Regions from separate parts of the Mus musculus genome. Here region 2 is reported to be linked to region 1. Evidence: microRNA targets listed by miRTarBase, many of them from high-throughput screens and not tested one by one. Region 1 holds a microRNA gene; the other region holds the end of a gene's coding sequence.
The links. The annotated mature microRNA mmu-miR-96-5p reads UUUGGCACUAGCACAUUUUUGCU and lies in region 1 at 2,650-2,672, shown strand. An mRNA with a match to its seed (bases 2 to 7 or 8) in the 3' UTR can be bound and repressed. Matches are read on the target gene's strand: a 7mer-m8 pairs with bases 2 to 8, a 7mer-A1 pairs with bases 2 to 7 and ends in A, and an 8mer does both.

Region 2: miRTarBase lists Chst1 as a target of mmu-miR-96-5p. Seed matches in the 3' UTR shown: 8mer at 1,827-1,834.

What each region holds. Positions count from the first base shown.
Region 1 is chr6:30,165,061-30,172,177 of GRCm38, reverse strand. It overlaps Mir96 (microRNA 96), which reads left to right and starts at 2,627; the gene lies at 2,627-2,732. The region is part of intron 1 of Mirc35hg (microRNA cluster 35, host gene); the gene reads left to right. Mir182 (microRNA 182) reads left to right here and starts at 6,186; the gene lies at 6,186-6,260. It overlaps Mir183 (microRNA 183), which reads left to right and starts at 2,441; the gene lies at 2,441-2,510.
Region 2 is chr2:92,613,320-92,620,436 of GRCm38, forward strand. Chst1 (carbohydrate sulfotransferase 1) reads left to right here. Exons shown (of 3, transcript NM_023850.2): 3 at 1-1,933. The coding sequence ends at 1,101. Among named protein-coding and RNA genes, the nearest start is that of Chst1, 17 kb to the left of the region's middle.

The DNA of each region.
Region 1 (7,117 bases):
GAGATATAAGTGATCCGTGCTGGGCCAATCGCTGGTGGGAAGATTCGCAACAGAGACTCTAGATTCGATGTGTAGGGGTTGATGGTGACAGTTGCTGAATGTTAGCAAAAGATCCCTAAAGACTCCACCCGAACCACTCACCTCTAGGGAGCTCTGGTACTGAGAATGGTAGGCTGGGGGGGGGGGGCAGGGGGAAGAGGCACATATAGGTCTGACTACAGAGCAAGAGCCCAGGGAAAGACCCCCGACCCCAATACCTGGCCAAGGGAGGGATGATTCTTCAAAGAGACAAGACATGCCTAAGGGGAGTAGGGCTAGGGGAGGGAGACCTGGCAGAGGATGTAGGATACACACTCACCCAGGAGGACATCCTGTGCCCCTGCCAGTCCTCCTTACACACCAACTCTGATGCTCTAATTGTTCACACCTACCAGGCTGGGACACAACCTTTTCCCACAGTCAGAAGAGGAATTTCTTAGCCTTTAATCTCAAGGTCAGGGTTTTGACCTACACAGAGAGCATAAGAGACTGTCCTGCCAAAGCCCCGTCATGGCTCCCCGTTGTAGAATACCAGGGTTGTTTTTGCAGAACTCCACTGTCCCCGTTTCAGGAGAGCCTATTTTCCTCTGACCCAGGACAGGTTCTGCTTCAACTAAGGTCTAGGTATTCCTGCTCTGCTGTGTGTTGGGTGGACTCTGGCTGTGGCCATGGGTGTGGCCCTGCCTGGGTACCGCAGCATTCTCTTCCTGCCGCATTTGAATTAGGAGGGGCAAGGCAGCGCAGGGAGGAGCCTCATTCAGCGGACTAGAACTGGATGCTGAAGGGGTGTTTGGCTCTGTAAGCAGTTTCCTGCTCTCCATCCCCTCCAGTTACAGAAGAGGAAGATGTAGGCAAAAGGGCGGGCATGCCAGGCACTTGATCCGACAGGGCTATTCTCTTATGGTGCTTCATTCCTTCCTGGGTGCTCCAGACTGAGTTCTCAGGAGGACATTGGTACCCTGAGTGTGTCTCAATCTTCCCAAGGCCCTTCCCCCATTGCTACTCCTCTGTTCCATTGAAATGGGGGGGGGAAAAAGATTTTAGAATACTGTTTCCAAAATATCCTGCATCTTTAGAGAAAGCTGTTTCCAAGCACAACTCTAAATAGCTTCTCCTTCCCAGCCTCACATTCCCCAGGTTCATATTAAACTGTAGGTTTCCTCGTGGGCCACAAAGCTCCATTTCAGGGGACTCCTTAGTGATTCTGAGAAACACTCTGAGCCACATAGAACACACCAGTAACTATAGCTGTCCACCCCCGCTTGACTCCTCTAAGTTCAGAGATTTATAGTGGGGGAAACTGAGGCCACAGGCCAGGGAGTGTCCATCTTACCAAGATGAAATGGCCTTTTGGGAGGTGAGCTAGAGCTCCAGAGTCAGCAAATAGTGAGTTTTCGGTCAAAGCCCCACAAGTATGTTACCAAGTCCAGGACTGATAACAGGTTTACAGTGGGGTTAGCCTGGAGTAAAGGCTTATAAGGTTTCTGAGCTGGAGAACTCTATCTGACCCCTTCCCGTATATTTCCCTTTTCCGTCTACCTTTCCCTGTGGATTCCAGGCCGGCCTAAGGGTAGGCTGAGCCTGTGTTGCCTCTTCCACAGTGTCTCCAGCTCTCATGCCCTGGGCACCAGCTCCAGAGAGACTTACCCTCCCTCTTTCCTCCATCCCCAGGGCACCTGGTACCAGAGGCAAGGGCCTCCATCCTGCCTTCTCTCGTGGCAGCCGCTGTAGCAACCACTGACGCAACCGCCCCAGCCCTCCCTTGGCTCTGTAGCCTCTACCGTCCTCCAAAGTACTCTCAGAACCTTCCAGAGGCTGCTTCCGAGGGCTCCTGCCAGAAACAGTTCACCCTGGCTCCTTCCGAGCTGCCTCCTTGTCTGAAGGAGCCCCCTGCCCTGATCCTGGCCCTGGTCAAGCCACAAAGGTGCCCATCGGGGACACTTTGCAGTCCTGCCTTCTGGGCCTCTGCTTGTGTCACTGGGCAAGCCAGGACTGCTGGCCTCTGTGCCGAGAGGCCATGAGAAGCACATTGGATGTTCTTGTCACTGCCCACTTGGGAGTAGGTGAGGTCCAGTGCCCTAGGTTATGAGGATCTGGCAACTGCTTGCTGACCTTGGCAGGAAGGTGGCTTGTTTGGGTGATGGTATTGGGATGTGATGGGAAACTCTGCTGCCCTCTGCAAGTCCAAGAAATCAGACTTTCTCCTCACTTGTCCTTGTCTTCTTGAAGGACAATTTGGGCTAGTGCACAACAACGAGCTGGTGAAGAGCTGGTGAGGAGGGTTGCTAAACTGCGGATGACAGCAGTGGGGGTGGGGTGGGGGGAGTAGGTTGTAGGACCTCCAGGAGAAGGCAGCTGACCCCTCTGCAGGGTCTGCAGGCTGGAGAGTGTGACTCCTGTCCTGTGTATGGCACTGGTAGAATTCACTGTGAACAGTCTCAGTCAGTGAATTACCGAAGGGCCATAAACAGAGCAGAGACAGATCCGCGAGCACCTTGGAGCTCCTCACCCCTTTCTGCCTAGACCTCTGTTTCCAGGGGTGCCAGGGTACAAAGACCTCCTCTGCTCCTTCCCCAGAGGGCCTGTTCCAGTACCATCTGCTTGGCCGATTTTGGCACTAGCACATTTTTGCTTGTGTCTCTCCGCTGTGAGCAATCATGTGTAGTGCCAATATGGGAAAAGCGGGCTGCTGCGGCCACGTTCACCTCCCCCGGCATCCCAGGGTCTGTGTGTCTCACTGGCTCCCTGGCCCATCTGGCTTACTGCTGGGTGAGGAGGGTACAGCCCTACCCTGGTGAACAGCCAGATCACCTTTCACTGCCTGAGGCCAGAGTGGAGTCGGAGCTGGGCAATCCGAGCTGGGCCAACAGATGGAGATGCTTGCGGTGGGGGTGGGGGTCGCCATCTGTAGGGCCAGCTTCTGTGATGCCCTGTTGGGCTCCTCCTCCTTAAGGCGAGCCGTCTTTGGGGTCTAGCCTTCTGCTACAGGATTCCAAGGAAGCAATTCCAAGCAATGGGATATCCTGTGCTCAGCATGAGTGTTTTATGAGGGTGGCTGTCCCTAGAGCCTACCATCAGTGGCTTACCTTAGGTCAGTGATGAGAGGGATACTAGTGTGGAGGGCTGGGAATGTTCTGGAAGGCTCAGTTGTGGCCTTTCCATCCACCCACTAGTGTTGGTTTCCTGCATCCTTGGAGTCCCTGTGACTTAATGTCCCTAAGCTGCCCATATATGTGTTATGTAACATTGTGTATGTAAGCTCTGATCTCGAACAGCTGCACCAGTTTGTAAAGAGTCATCTCACAGATGGAGGGACAGGCTGGAGGTCCATTAGTAGTGAAGTAGGGTCGCTACCTCTCTTCAGTCACGACAATGTATTGACCTCCAGTGGCCTTGCTCTGTGGAGAGTGCTCACACACCCCTGCCCCCTGTGGCTGGGTGAATCTTGGCTCTGACCCTTCATATATCCCTGGCCTTCAAAATGAGTTAGATCTGGACCTGGTCCATAGGGCTTAGAAGAGCCCACCCACCAGCCAGGCTCTTGGGTGAAGCCCTGGTGGTTAGCAGGCAGTGAGAGCTGAGCTGACTAAGCTGGTCCACTGACCATCTGGTAGCCATCATATCTGAAGTTACTGGGCCAGCCCCTAATGAGACTGCTTCTCCCTGGGGAAGGGGAACTTCTTGCAAGAGCCAGTTACTCAGTCCAGTTACAGTTAGGTGGCCAAGCTAAAGAGGGCTGGGGCCAGGCCAGGGGAATGTGTACAGTTGAGTCTGGAAGTTAGAGATCAACCAATCCAGTTGACTGCTCACCAGGAACGTGCCTGAGCATCCAGGGCCGCCCGCCTGCTTGGGTGCCCTGAGAGTTGTGTTGGATAGCGAGGACATTTAGACCTACTACTGCCAACTGGGGGCTTCCATAAGTCTCTGGGGTATGGCACTAATGTCCTGTGCAGAAGGCTATCTGAGCACTTGCGGGAAAAGGAAGGACAGGAAGAGACCTCACCGCCTCACCCTGGTGAGGTCTCTGTTTCGGGTCTTGCCTCTGTGAACCCAACTCTGCTCCTGTCCAGCACTCAGGGGGCCACTCAGAGCTGGGTCCCTCTAACCAAAGCAGTCCTCAGACCCCTAGTGGTCCTGCCTCTCACACTGGCCTTGGTGGAGGCTTTGCTGAGACCTCACTAGCAGGTGTTGGTATGGCCCAGTTCTATACTTCTTTCCAGGCTCAGGGCTCCACCCCTCTGGGGCCTGCATTCCCAAAGGATGACCACTGGCCATAGCTTTCTGGTTCTCCTCATCTAGCCTGTTCTCGACCTGGGTGAAAGTTCACCTATAGTAGTGACTGCCGGTGAGCAGAGGCCACAAGGCTGGTTGGACTCCGCAGAAAATCAGCTTCCAGAGGACCATGCTGGTGAGGGTGCGGTAGGAGGGGAGGGCTCACCCTGTCAAGCAGGACCAGTTTCTTCCTGGCTGTCTGATCCTGCGGAAGGATTTACCCTTACCCTCTCAGGGCAGTTGGTGCAGTTTAATCCACTGGGGACCTTCTTATATTGTTCGGGCTCGGTGGCTCCTAGGTGCCTGAGTTGCTGCCTCCTGGGTAGGCTCCTTGCCTCATTGCCTGGTGTTGGGGTTGCCTGGGCCAGCCGCTCCCCAGAGTCCCTGTGAGGTGGATTATTCCAGACTTTCGCCCTTCCCCCACCCCTGCATTTGCTTATTCAATCCAGGCCATTATCCGGGTCCCTGCCCCAGCTCTGCAGTCCTCTGGCTCTTGGAAATGCGATCTGGCTCCATTGATCGCAGGCAGGCGGGGCTGCTCGCTCCCAGCCTAGCTAGTGTGGCCCGAGATTGAGCAGTTAGGGGTGCTGACAGGATAGGACCCTCCCCGCTCACACTGGAGTGGAGGGAGTGACCCACTCAACTCACCAGTGGCTTGCCTTAACACTTTATAATGTGATAAAAATGTGTGGCCTGCCTTTGGGAGGTATGTGGCCAAGAAACCAAGGTCCTGCTTGTGTCCCCACTGGGGACACACTCTAGGTCAAGGTTTCAAGGAGCTTCCTTGCCAAGCAGATCACCCCAGCCCCTGAACTCAGTACTGGGATCACAGATGTGGCCCACAATTCTGGCCCAGCTATAAAGCAAGTTTTTCTCTGGGCAGTGGAGTCATCTCAGCACCCAAGCTTAGGCCACTGGCAGTGACCAGCTTGAGTGTCCAGGGTTCGTCTGCATCTCTGCCCTTCCAAAACATCATCTTTGGGTCCTTCATCCTCCCTGCCCTGCAGGAGGACAGAGGGACCGGTGGCATTTCCATCACTGGCCCTGCCAGCCAGCAGTTCCTCTAGATTTATGGAAATGAATCCATGGGTGGTTTGGGGGCAAAGAAGTGTACCATCTTTGGGGTTCCTTGAAGGCTGCAGGGGTGTGTGTCTTTTTGGAAGGGATGGGTAAGGAAATCTCTGCACTTGGGAGAATGCTGTGTGGATGTGCTAATGCAGCTGTGTTCCGCTTGGCTGGCCCTGCTAGACTGCAGTGATGGCTGTCTAGACTCTCCAGAGAAGGTCTTAGCCTAGGGTTCTTCCTCCCCAGCCTCAGGGAGGAGACCACAGGCCGGGCAGTGGTTTGCCTGTGGCTTGACAAGGAAGTGGGATCTATGCATTGACCTTTTACCTCCCTCCCGGTGGGGGGGTGGGACAGCTGAGGAACTTTAGGCTCTGGGGAATGTCAGGAAGGGATTAAACAGGATGCCACCTGGGGGCCTTGGTAGATGGCAAGCTGGCCCCATGCCACTCTCTTCCTTGGTTACCAAGCAGGGGACTCCCTGACCCAGAGTGCACCCATTCCCAAGCTCCCACTGGCAGGTTCCTGGGGTACAGTGCCTTTGAGAGCAGTGGCTATGGCTCCATCACTGCCTAATGCCCCTACACAGGGACTGTGGGTCGTGGGGAGGGGGGGAGGTGGTCGTGGGGTGGGGGGGAGGTGGCTGGAGGGCAGGCAGGGCTTGAGGAGGTTTTACACTGGAACAGGACCATACAGGCCGAAGGACCATAGTCTGGACCTTGTGTTAACTGTGGGAAGAGCGCCCTCCTAAAACCACCCTAACTGCTTCTTCTTCAGCATAGGCTTACTGGTCTGGCTGCTGGAGGCCTCCCACCATTTTTGGCAATGGTAGAACTCACACCGGTAAGGTAATGGGACCCGGTGGTTCTAGACTTGCCAACTATGGTGTAAGTGCTGAGCTGCTGAAGGTCTGCACCGTGCCGGAACCTGCCGATCACCAGGAAGGAGAGGGGACTCCTGTCTCCAGACCACCAGGCAGTGGCAGAGGGTGGGCGCAGCTGGAAGTGACCCTTAATGTTTCCCTGCGCCCCCCTGAGGTCACAAGTCATGAAGTCGACCTCTTCTCGGTGAAAAGGACTTGGGATCCAGCCTTGCTCCAGGGTGGCCCTCACAGGGATGGTGGGAATCCTAAGCTTGGTGAGGGAGAGACAGATGGCTTTTCCTCTCCCGCCCTCAACCCCTGAGGGCTGTTCTTCAGGTAGGTTCTGAGGCCACAAGGAAGTGTCTTCTGGTCTATGCGATCCCCTTTTGGAGCTTCTGGCTGGGGTGTGAGGGTGGAGATGGCATACTCTCCACTCAGACATCTAGGAATCTTGCCCAGGCCCTAGAAGGGTAAAGGAATGAAGGCTCCCATATGGACGGAGTGTGTTGAGGTCATCTGGAGCTGCGGCCTCTGTGTTAGCCCCTCCAGCTCGCTGCTTTGTGGCTAGGCTGCTGACACCTGAGCACAGAGGGGCGCAGTGAGAGTGTGCTGACAGTCTAGACTGCAGGTTCCTACAACTCAACTCTGGAGTTAGGGCCAGTGACTATCCTAGATGGAGGACCTTGGTGGGGTGGGCCTGTTTGGGAAGTCTGGGCCCTAGGGTTGATTTCCTGTCTCTATAGGTAACCAAGGCAGCTGCCCTGGGAGCTACACATGTTTGTGACTCTGCAGATGCACGACTGTATGTGTGACCTTAGTTAAAGTCTTTCTCTCTCTAAGGACACCCCAGGACCTCAGTTATTTTTTTTTTTAATATTTATT
Region 2 (7,117 bases), not on the chromosome of region 1:
CTGTGTGAGGAGGGCCCTACCTTCTCCTACAACCTCTCCAGGAAGACCCACGTCCTGATCCTGGCCACCACACGCAGTGGCTCTTCCTTTGTGGGCCAGCTCTTCAACCAGCACATGGATGTCTTCTACCTGTTCGAGCCGCTCTATCACGTCCAAAACACGCTCATCCCCCGGTTCACCCAGGGCAAGAGCCCCGCAGATCGCAGGGTCATGCTAGGTGCCAGCCGGGACCTGCTGAGGAGCCTTTATGATTGTGATCTCTACTTTCTGGAGAACTACATCAAGCCACCTCCAGTCAACCACACCACCAACAGGGTCTTCCGCAGAGGGGCCAGCAGGGTCCTTTGCTCCCGTCCAGTGTGTGACCCTCCAGGGTCCTCTGACCTGATCCTGGAGGAGGGGGACTGTGTGCGCATGTGTGGCTTGCTGAACCTGACCTTGGCAGCCGAGGCTTGTCGTGAGCGCAGTCATGTGGCCATCAAGACTGTGCGGGTGCCCGAGGTGAATGACTTGCGGGCTCTAGTGGAAGACCCCAGGCTGAACCTCAAGGTCATCCAGCTGGTGCGAGACCCTCGTGGCATCTTGGCTTCTCGCAGTGAGACCTTCCGGGACACCTACCGGCTCTGGCGGCTTTGGTACGGCACAGGGAGGAAGCCCTACAACCTGGATGTGACACAGCTGACCACTGTGTGTGAGGATTTCTCTAGCTCTGTGTCTACTGGCCTCATGCGGCCCTCCTGGCTCAAGGGCAAGTACATGCTGGTACGTTATGAGGACCTGGCCAGAAATCCAATGAAGAAGACAGAAGAGATCTACGAATTCCTGGGTATCCCCCTGGACAGTCACGTGGCACACTGGATCCAGAACAATACGAGGGGCGACCCCACTTTGGGCAAGCACAAATACAGCACAGTGCGCAACTCTGCAGCCACAGCTGAGAAGTGGCGCTTCCGCCTCTCCTATGACATCGTGGCCTTTGCCCAGAATGCCTGCCAGCAGGTGTTGGCTCAGCTGGGCTACAAGATGGCCAACTCAGAGGAGGAACTGAAGAATCCGGCCATCAGCCTAGTGGAGGAGCGTGACTTCCGCCCTTTTTTGTGACCTGGGTGTGGTGGGGGTGGGAGGCAGGTGGCTCTGGTTTTGCTGACGCGGACCTACTATGGGCCGTCTTTAACTGTTGCCTTATCTCCCTCCTCCCTCTCCCACCCTGTCTGTGTATCCATTCCAGCCCCTGCCCACTCTCCCCTTTCCTTCGCCTCTCCCACACCATCTGTGTGTCCTTCTTGACCTTGCCCACTTCCTTTTCTCCTGCCTCTTTTTGCCCCTGAAATTTGCACTATGTCTCTGGAGGGGAACACTGGGCAGAGGGCGTATGATGTGGGGTTACTCCCCCCACCCCATTTAGACACAAGGATGTTGGGTCTCTGTGAGGATGGGGACGATGTTTACAGGCACCCAATCGCACATTCATTCACACGTGCACACAGGCACACGATGAGAGGCACCCCAGCACACAACTGGTAGTTTTGCAATTGTCTTCTCAAGGTAAGAGGATGGACACAAAGGGGCCGTACCTCCCCAGTTTAAGGAAAGGGTCCATCCCCGCCCCCTTCCTGCTCCCTCCCCTGGAGTAGGGCACCCGTCCCTCCTGCACACCCTTGCCTGGTGGTGAGCAGGGTTTTACTGTGAGGTGAATTGGGACTACTTTCTATTTGGTTTGTGGTGAGCTTGTCTGTCTGAGTCTTGTGGCTACCCCTAGACCAGTAATGGCTAATGAATCTTAGAAGTTTCTGATTGATCTTGGGGTCCCTCTGTGCTATTTCTTTGTGCCAAAAAAAAAAAAAAAAGACAAAAAAAATGTGGATCAGTTTGCAGAGTGAAAATTGAAATGCTTTATTTGTGTTTTCTGTAAATAAAAATGTGCAGTACTGCCTGAGTGTGATTTGGGGGAAGTCTTCGGAATGGTAAGCAATGGGATTTGGATATCCCCAGCTTAGGAGGGAACAGGAAGAAGGAAAAGTGGGAATTAAATGGCAAACCTGCCTTTCAGAACTATTTTATTAAAACAAAACAAAAACAAAAACCCTAGACTATCCTTTTAAAGTTCTTTGATGATTGCATACATGTAAAAGCTCTGCCTTGATCTTATGATCCCCACCCCCACCCCCTACCCCATCACCCAGGAGCCTCCAAGTCCCCATTCCATTCCCTCGAGGAGGTCCTGCCATTCAAGTCTCTTGCCACCCTCCATGCTGGCTTGGGGCTTTCAACTCTGTTGCCTTCTTATCAGCTGAGGTGGGCGGTACCTTCTGGTCAGGGTGCTCAAAGTATTTAAGAAGACGCTTGGGGATTCAGAGTCCAAGGAAAGAGTCAGGTCTGGAGAACTCCTGTACCAGAGGTTCCTCCTTTAGTTAGGGTTTGGGGGCCACGGAAGCTGGGGAGAAGGGGCATCCAATGTGCGGGTGGCTCAGGGCAGGATTGCTTATAAACCTGCCTGGAAGCTATCTCAGGAGCCAGCCACGTTTCTGGTGCACACCAGTGCCAAACTGCTGTGTTCACTCTCCATCTTTCCTTGACGATCTAGCAGGCTCTTCTAAAAAAACTCCCCCAGTCTTCACCCCAAGACACATGCATAACATGAGATTTCTTAAAAAGTGAAAATGGAGTGTCTTACCATGATTTAAGAACTAAAGAGAAACTGCCCCATCTGCCTGGTTAGATAGGTGACCCAGTATTGAACATCCCTCCATGGCCTCTGCATCAGCTCCTGCTTCCTGACCTGCTTGAGTTCCAGTCCTGCATCCTTTGGTGATGAAGAGCAGTATGGAAGTGTAAGCTGAATAAACCCTTTCCTCCCCAACTTGTTTCTTGGTCGTGATGTTTGTGCAGGAAGAGAAACCCTGACTAAGACAGGGAGGAAAGGGTTTATTCAGCTTACACAATCACTTTGCTTGCTCATCACTAAAGGAAGTCAAGACTGAAACTCACAGGGTAGGAAGCAGGAGCTGATACAGAGGCCATGGAGGGATGTTACTTACTGGCTTGCTTCCCCTGGCTTGCTCAACTTGCTTTCTTGTAGAACCCAAGACTACCAGCCCAGGGATAGTACCACCCACAAGGAGCCCTCCCACCTTGATCACCAACTGAGAAAATGCCCCACAACTGGATCTCATGGAGGCACTTCCCCAACTGAAGCTCCTTTCTCTGTGATAACTCCAACCTGTGTCAAGTTGACACACAAAATCAGCCAGTACACTCTCAAACCCCAAAATCTCATGTAGTCCAGGCTGGCCTCAAAGTCAGTAGGTAGCCAAGGATGATTTCAATGTTTGATTCTCAACCTCCTAAGTGGTGGGGCTATGGGCATGTGTTGTCACACTTGGTATTATGGGATGCTGGGATTGACACCATGGCTACATGCCCACTAGGCAAGCATACTACTAACTCGGCCACACCCCAGCTCTGCAGTAGACTTTTATTTTGGAAAGTCTCCCACTTTTAGGATAAGGCCAGATCCTCGCGCTGTTCTCTGTAGCCCTGCACATGCCAGCCTCTGTTCTTCTCGGGCTGCATTCTCTTATCTCCGTGTTTATTTCAGCCCTTGAACACTCTGGGGTAGACTTCTGCAGCCACGGCCGCCATCCATTGACACACGCCTCCCTCTAACCGTGGGCCATGAACTGTGTCTGCTCACACCTGCTTTGGGTTTAGCCAAGTGCCTTGTTTTGGTCAGTAAAATGAGACTGCTGCAGGGGTAACAGAGAGGCTGTCTCCTCTGCCACGTGAGGTAAGCTCCAGGGTAACTTGCCAGAGAGTTTAGGACCACAGGCTAGGTACTCAAGGACCTGCTAAGGCCACTCACAGTCTGGTCCGGGTAGTTACAGGCAGCTGGCTGAGTTTAGCCAGGGTTCTGACTCAGCACTGAGGACAAGAAGCACGCTTGTGGCTTGAAGATTCTGAGCTTCAGCACAACTTACTCCGTGGCCAGATCTGACAGACACATAGACTCTGCTCCATGCCGCAGTCTGTACAGCCTGTTCCTCATGTCTGAGCTACAACTGTTCCTTTCCTTAGTTAAAGTCTGTTCGTTCTTTCGATCCCAACATAATTATCAGCACTTCCTTAATTTTACCAGGTCGGCTGATTTATCTCGATCATGGGCCCTTATATAGCTGCTTCTCTATCTTATATATCCCGATCACAGTCCCTTATAGCGCCGTGCACATCTCTTTTATCGTGTTTACTGCAGTTGTAATCACTCCTTTTACAGCAGGACCCAGTGCACAATGGGTGTCCAGTAAACACTGGCTGATCGAGTACAAGAATGAATGAAACAGGTGTTTCCAGGCTGATAAAAGAGCTTGCCCCGTCTGGGGCCTTCACATGGAGCAGGCAAAGTCTCTCAAGGATCTGAGAGATCGGGACAGCTTGTGTCCTCCCAGGAGGTGCTGCCATGTGCTAGGAGGCTGGGCTTGGTTCCACATCCTTCCCCAACATCCTTAGTCGGCACACGGCACACCAACATCAGCATTCCAGTGCCCTTGTGATTTCATCACCTGCCTTGATGTTTGTTGTGTTTGCTGGGCTGACACCCTGAGCAACAGTGGCTGTCACACGGTCTGAACCTACAGTTTACAAATCACCCTCACCTGTGAGTCAACCTTCTCCTTCCTGCTGACCAAGGAAGCCCCTCTTTCTAGCCAGGAAATGATGCTCACAGTGCCACGTACACAGGACTGGCCCCGAACCCACTTCTGTGTGTTGTTCCAGAAAGCTGAGATCCTGAGGCATGCAGGAGTCACTTCCTGGTCTTGTCCCCAGACTCAGGGCCGGCCTCACGCTGTGGAACTAACACTGGCTACATCCTGTATTTTCTTGCAGCTCACACTTCCTCCGTTTGTGTGTTCCTACCTGCTCACCTGCTAGTCACAAACACATGGCATGAGAGCCCAGGGAGCCCAATAGGACCTCACTTCCTATAAATGAGGAGGATATTGTCTAAGAACAGACCCACCTTCCTGGATTATCCCCCTCTGCAGGAAAACCTCTCTCTGGGGAAGGATCTCTCTAGGCCAGAATGCCTTTCCTGGTCGGAAAAACTCACATGTGGAAGAAGAGCCTTCCTGCACTCAGAGAGAAAGCTCACAGGCAGCAGTGTCCTGAAGACTGCAGAACAGGTTGGCCAGAGCCAAGCCTCAGGAACAATCGCCATGGTCAGAGCTCAAGTCCAGCTGCAGCCAGTGACTGTGTGCTCACATGTGCATGTTCCAAGGGAGCTCAGTCACACTGAGGGGCTGTCTGGCCTGCAATCCTGCAGCCTGCCTCCCAAGGCACCCACAAGACATGCCAGGGCTTCCATGAGAACATCTGCTGAATTTGAGTCTTGCCTCTCCTGGAACTGTTATGATCGAAAGTCTGGCTCTAGGTTGCTGTCTGGTCTCTGCCATTTATTTACTGTGTGACTCAAGGGAAACCACTTCATCTTTCTGTGCCCTCCATAGTACAGAAGTAATCATGAGACCTGCCCTCAGAGGGATACGGTGAAGATGTCCTAAGTTTGGGTGGTATATTTAATTGCACAGAGTAGAGCTTAGGCTGTGGACAGTGCCCAGTTCGTGCTAGCTATTGTCACTGCTACCATCATCATCATCACCACCACCACCATCACCATCACCATCACCACCACCATCATCACCATCACCACCACCACCACCACCACCACCATCACCACCACCATCACCACCACCACCACCACCATCACCACCACCACCACCACCATCACCACCACCATCACCACCACCACCACCACCAACACCACCATCATCATCACCACCACCATCACTATCACCATCACCATCACCACCATCACCACCACCACCACCACCACCACCACCACCACCACCACCATCACTTTAGCCATAGTGCCTCCTCAGATGCTGGAATGTAACAGCCATTCAATGAATTTTTGTTGAACAAGTACATTTGAGGGTTTCTCATTTGAACTATTATCAGTGGCTACCGTGTTACACTTCAATAAGATGACAAATGACGTCTGGTTGGCAAAGGCCTAAGAGGAGGGAAGCAGGTAAGTCTGAGGTCCCCATAGAATGATGGCTGTGCACAAGGACAATCTTGCCCATCCAGGCTTCACCAGAGGATAAATGTTGGCCAAGTGTTTTCATTTCATTTTTGCTGCTGTGATAAAACACCTTGGCAGAAGGCAGCTGAGGGGAGAAAGAGTTTATTTCAGCTCCCAGGTACAGGTGGTCCTCCCTGTAGGGAAGACATGGCGGCAGGAGCTTGAAGCTGCTGGTCACATGATAGTATCATTCACTGCTATTCACAGTGTTAGCCTGGCAGATGACAGTTAATGTCAGAGTGCCACATCCAAAGTCAAGAACAAGGGAGTCAATGAGTGTGTGTGCACGGATGCTTAGAGCCACAGCCCAAAGTATCCAGGGCCCAAAGCCAGAAGCGTTCCTACCACTTTTAGACTGGATCTTCTTGATCTTCTTAAGTCAACCAAGGAGGTTCCAAACGACTCACAGAAGAAAGGGTTTATTAGTCTTCCACTTGGACATCCCAGTTCATTATGGAAGGACATCAGGGCGGAAGCTCAAAGCAGGAACCTGGAGGCAGGAACTGAAGCGGAAGCCACGGATGAGTGCTGCTTATTGGCTGGCTACCCAGGGCTTTTCCAGTCTGACTTTTTATATGAGACCCCCTGCCCTGAAGTGGTACTGACCACAGTAATCTGAACCCCCTCACATCAGTTATTAATCAAGAAAATGCCTCAACAGACTTGCCTATAGACCAATCAGATGGTGACATTTTCTCAGTTGTGGCTCCTTCTCAGATGACCCTAGATTGTGTCAAGGTGACAAAAACCAAAAAACCAAAAAATAAAACCCAATCTTCACAACTTGTGAAGAGCTAAGATTTTCTTTCCCAAGATCTAGGGGAGACCCCTGTTTAGTGAATTCACTGAGGAAAGGGGCAGGGTTTTGTTTGTTTGTTTGTTTGTTTGTTTGTTTGTTTTTGTCTGTCTCTCCCTGGAAATAGCTAGCCAGCTACATCCTCCTACTGAGACTTCCTTCTGTTACACTCCAGCAGACTG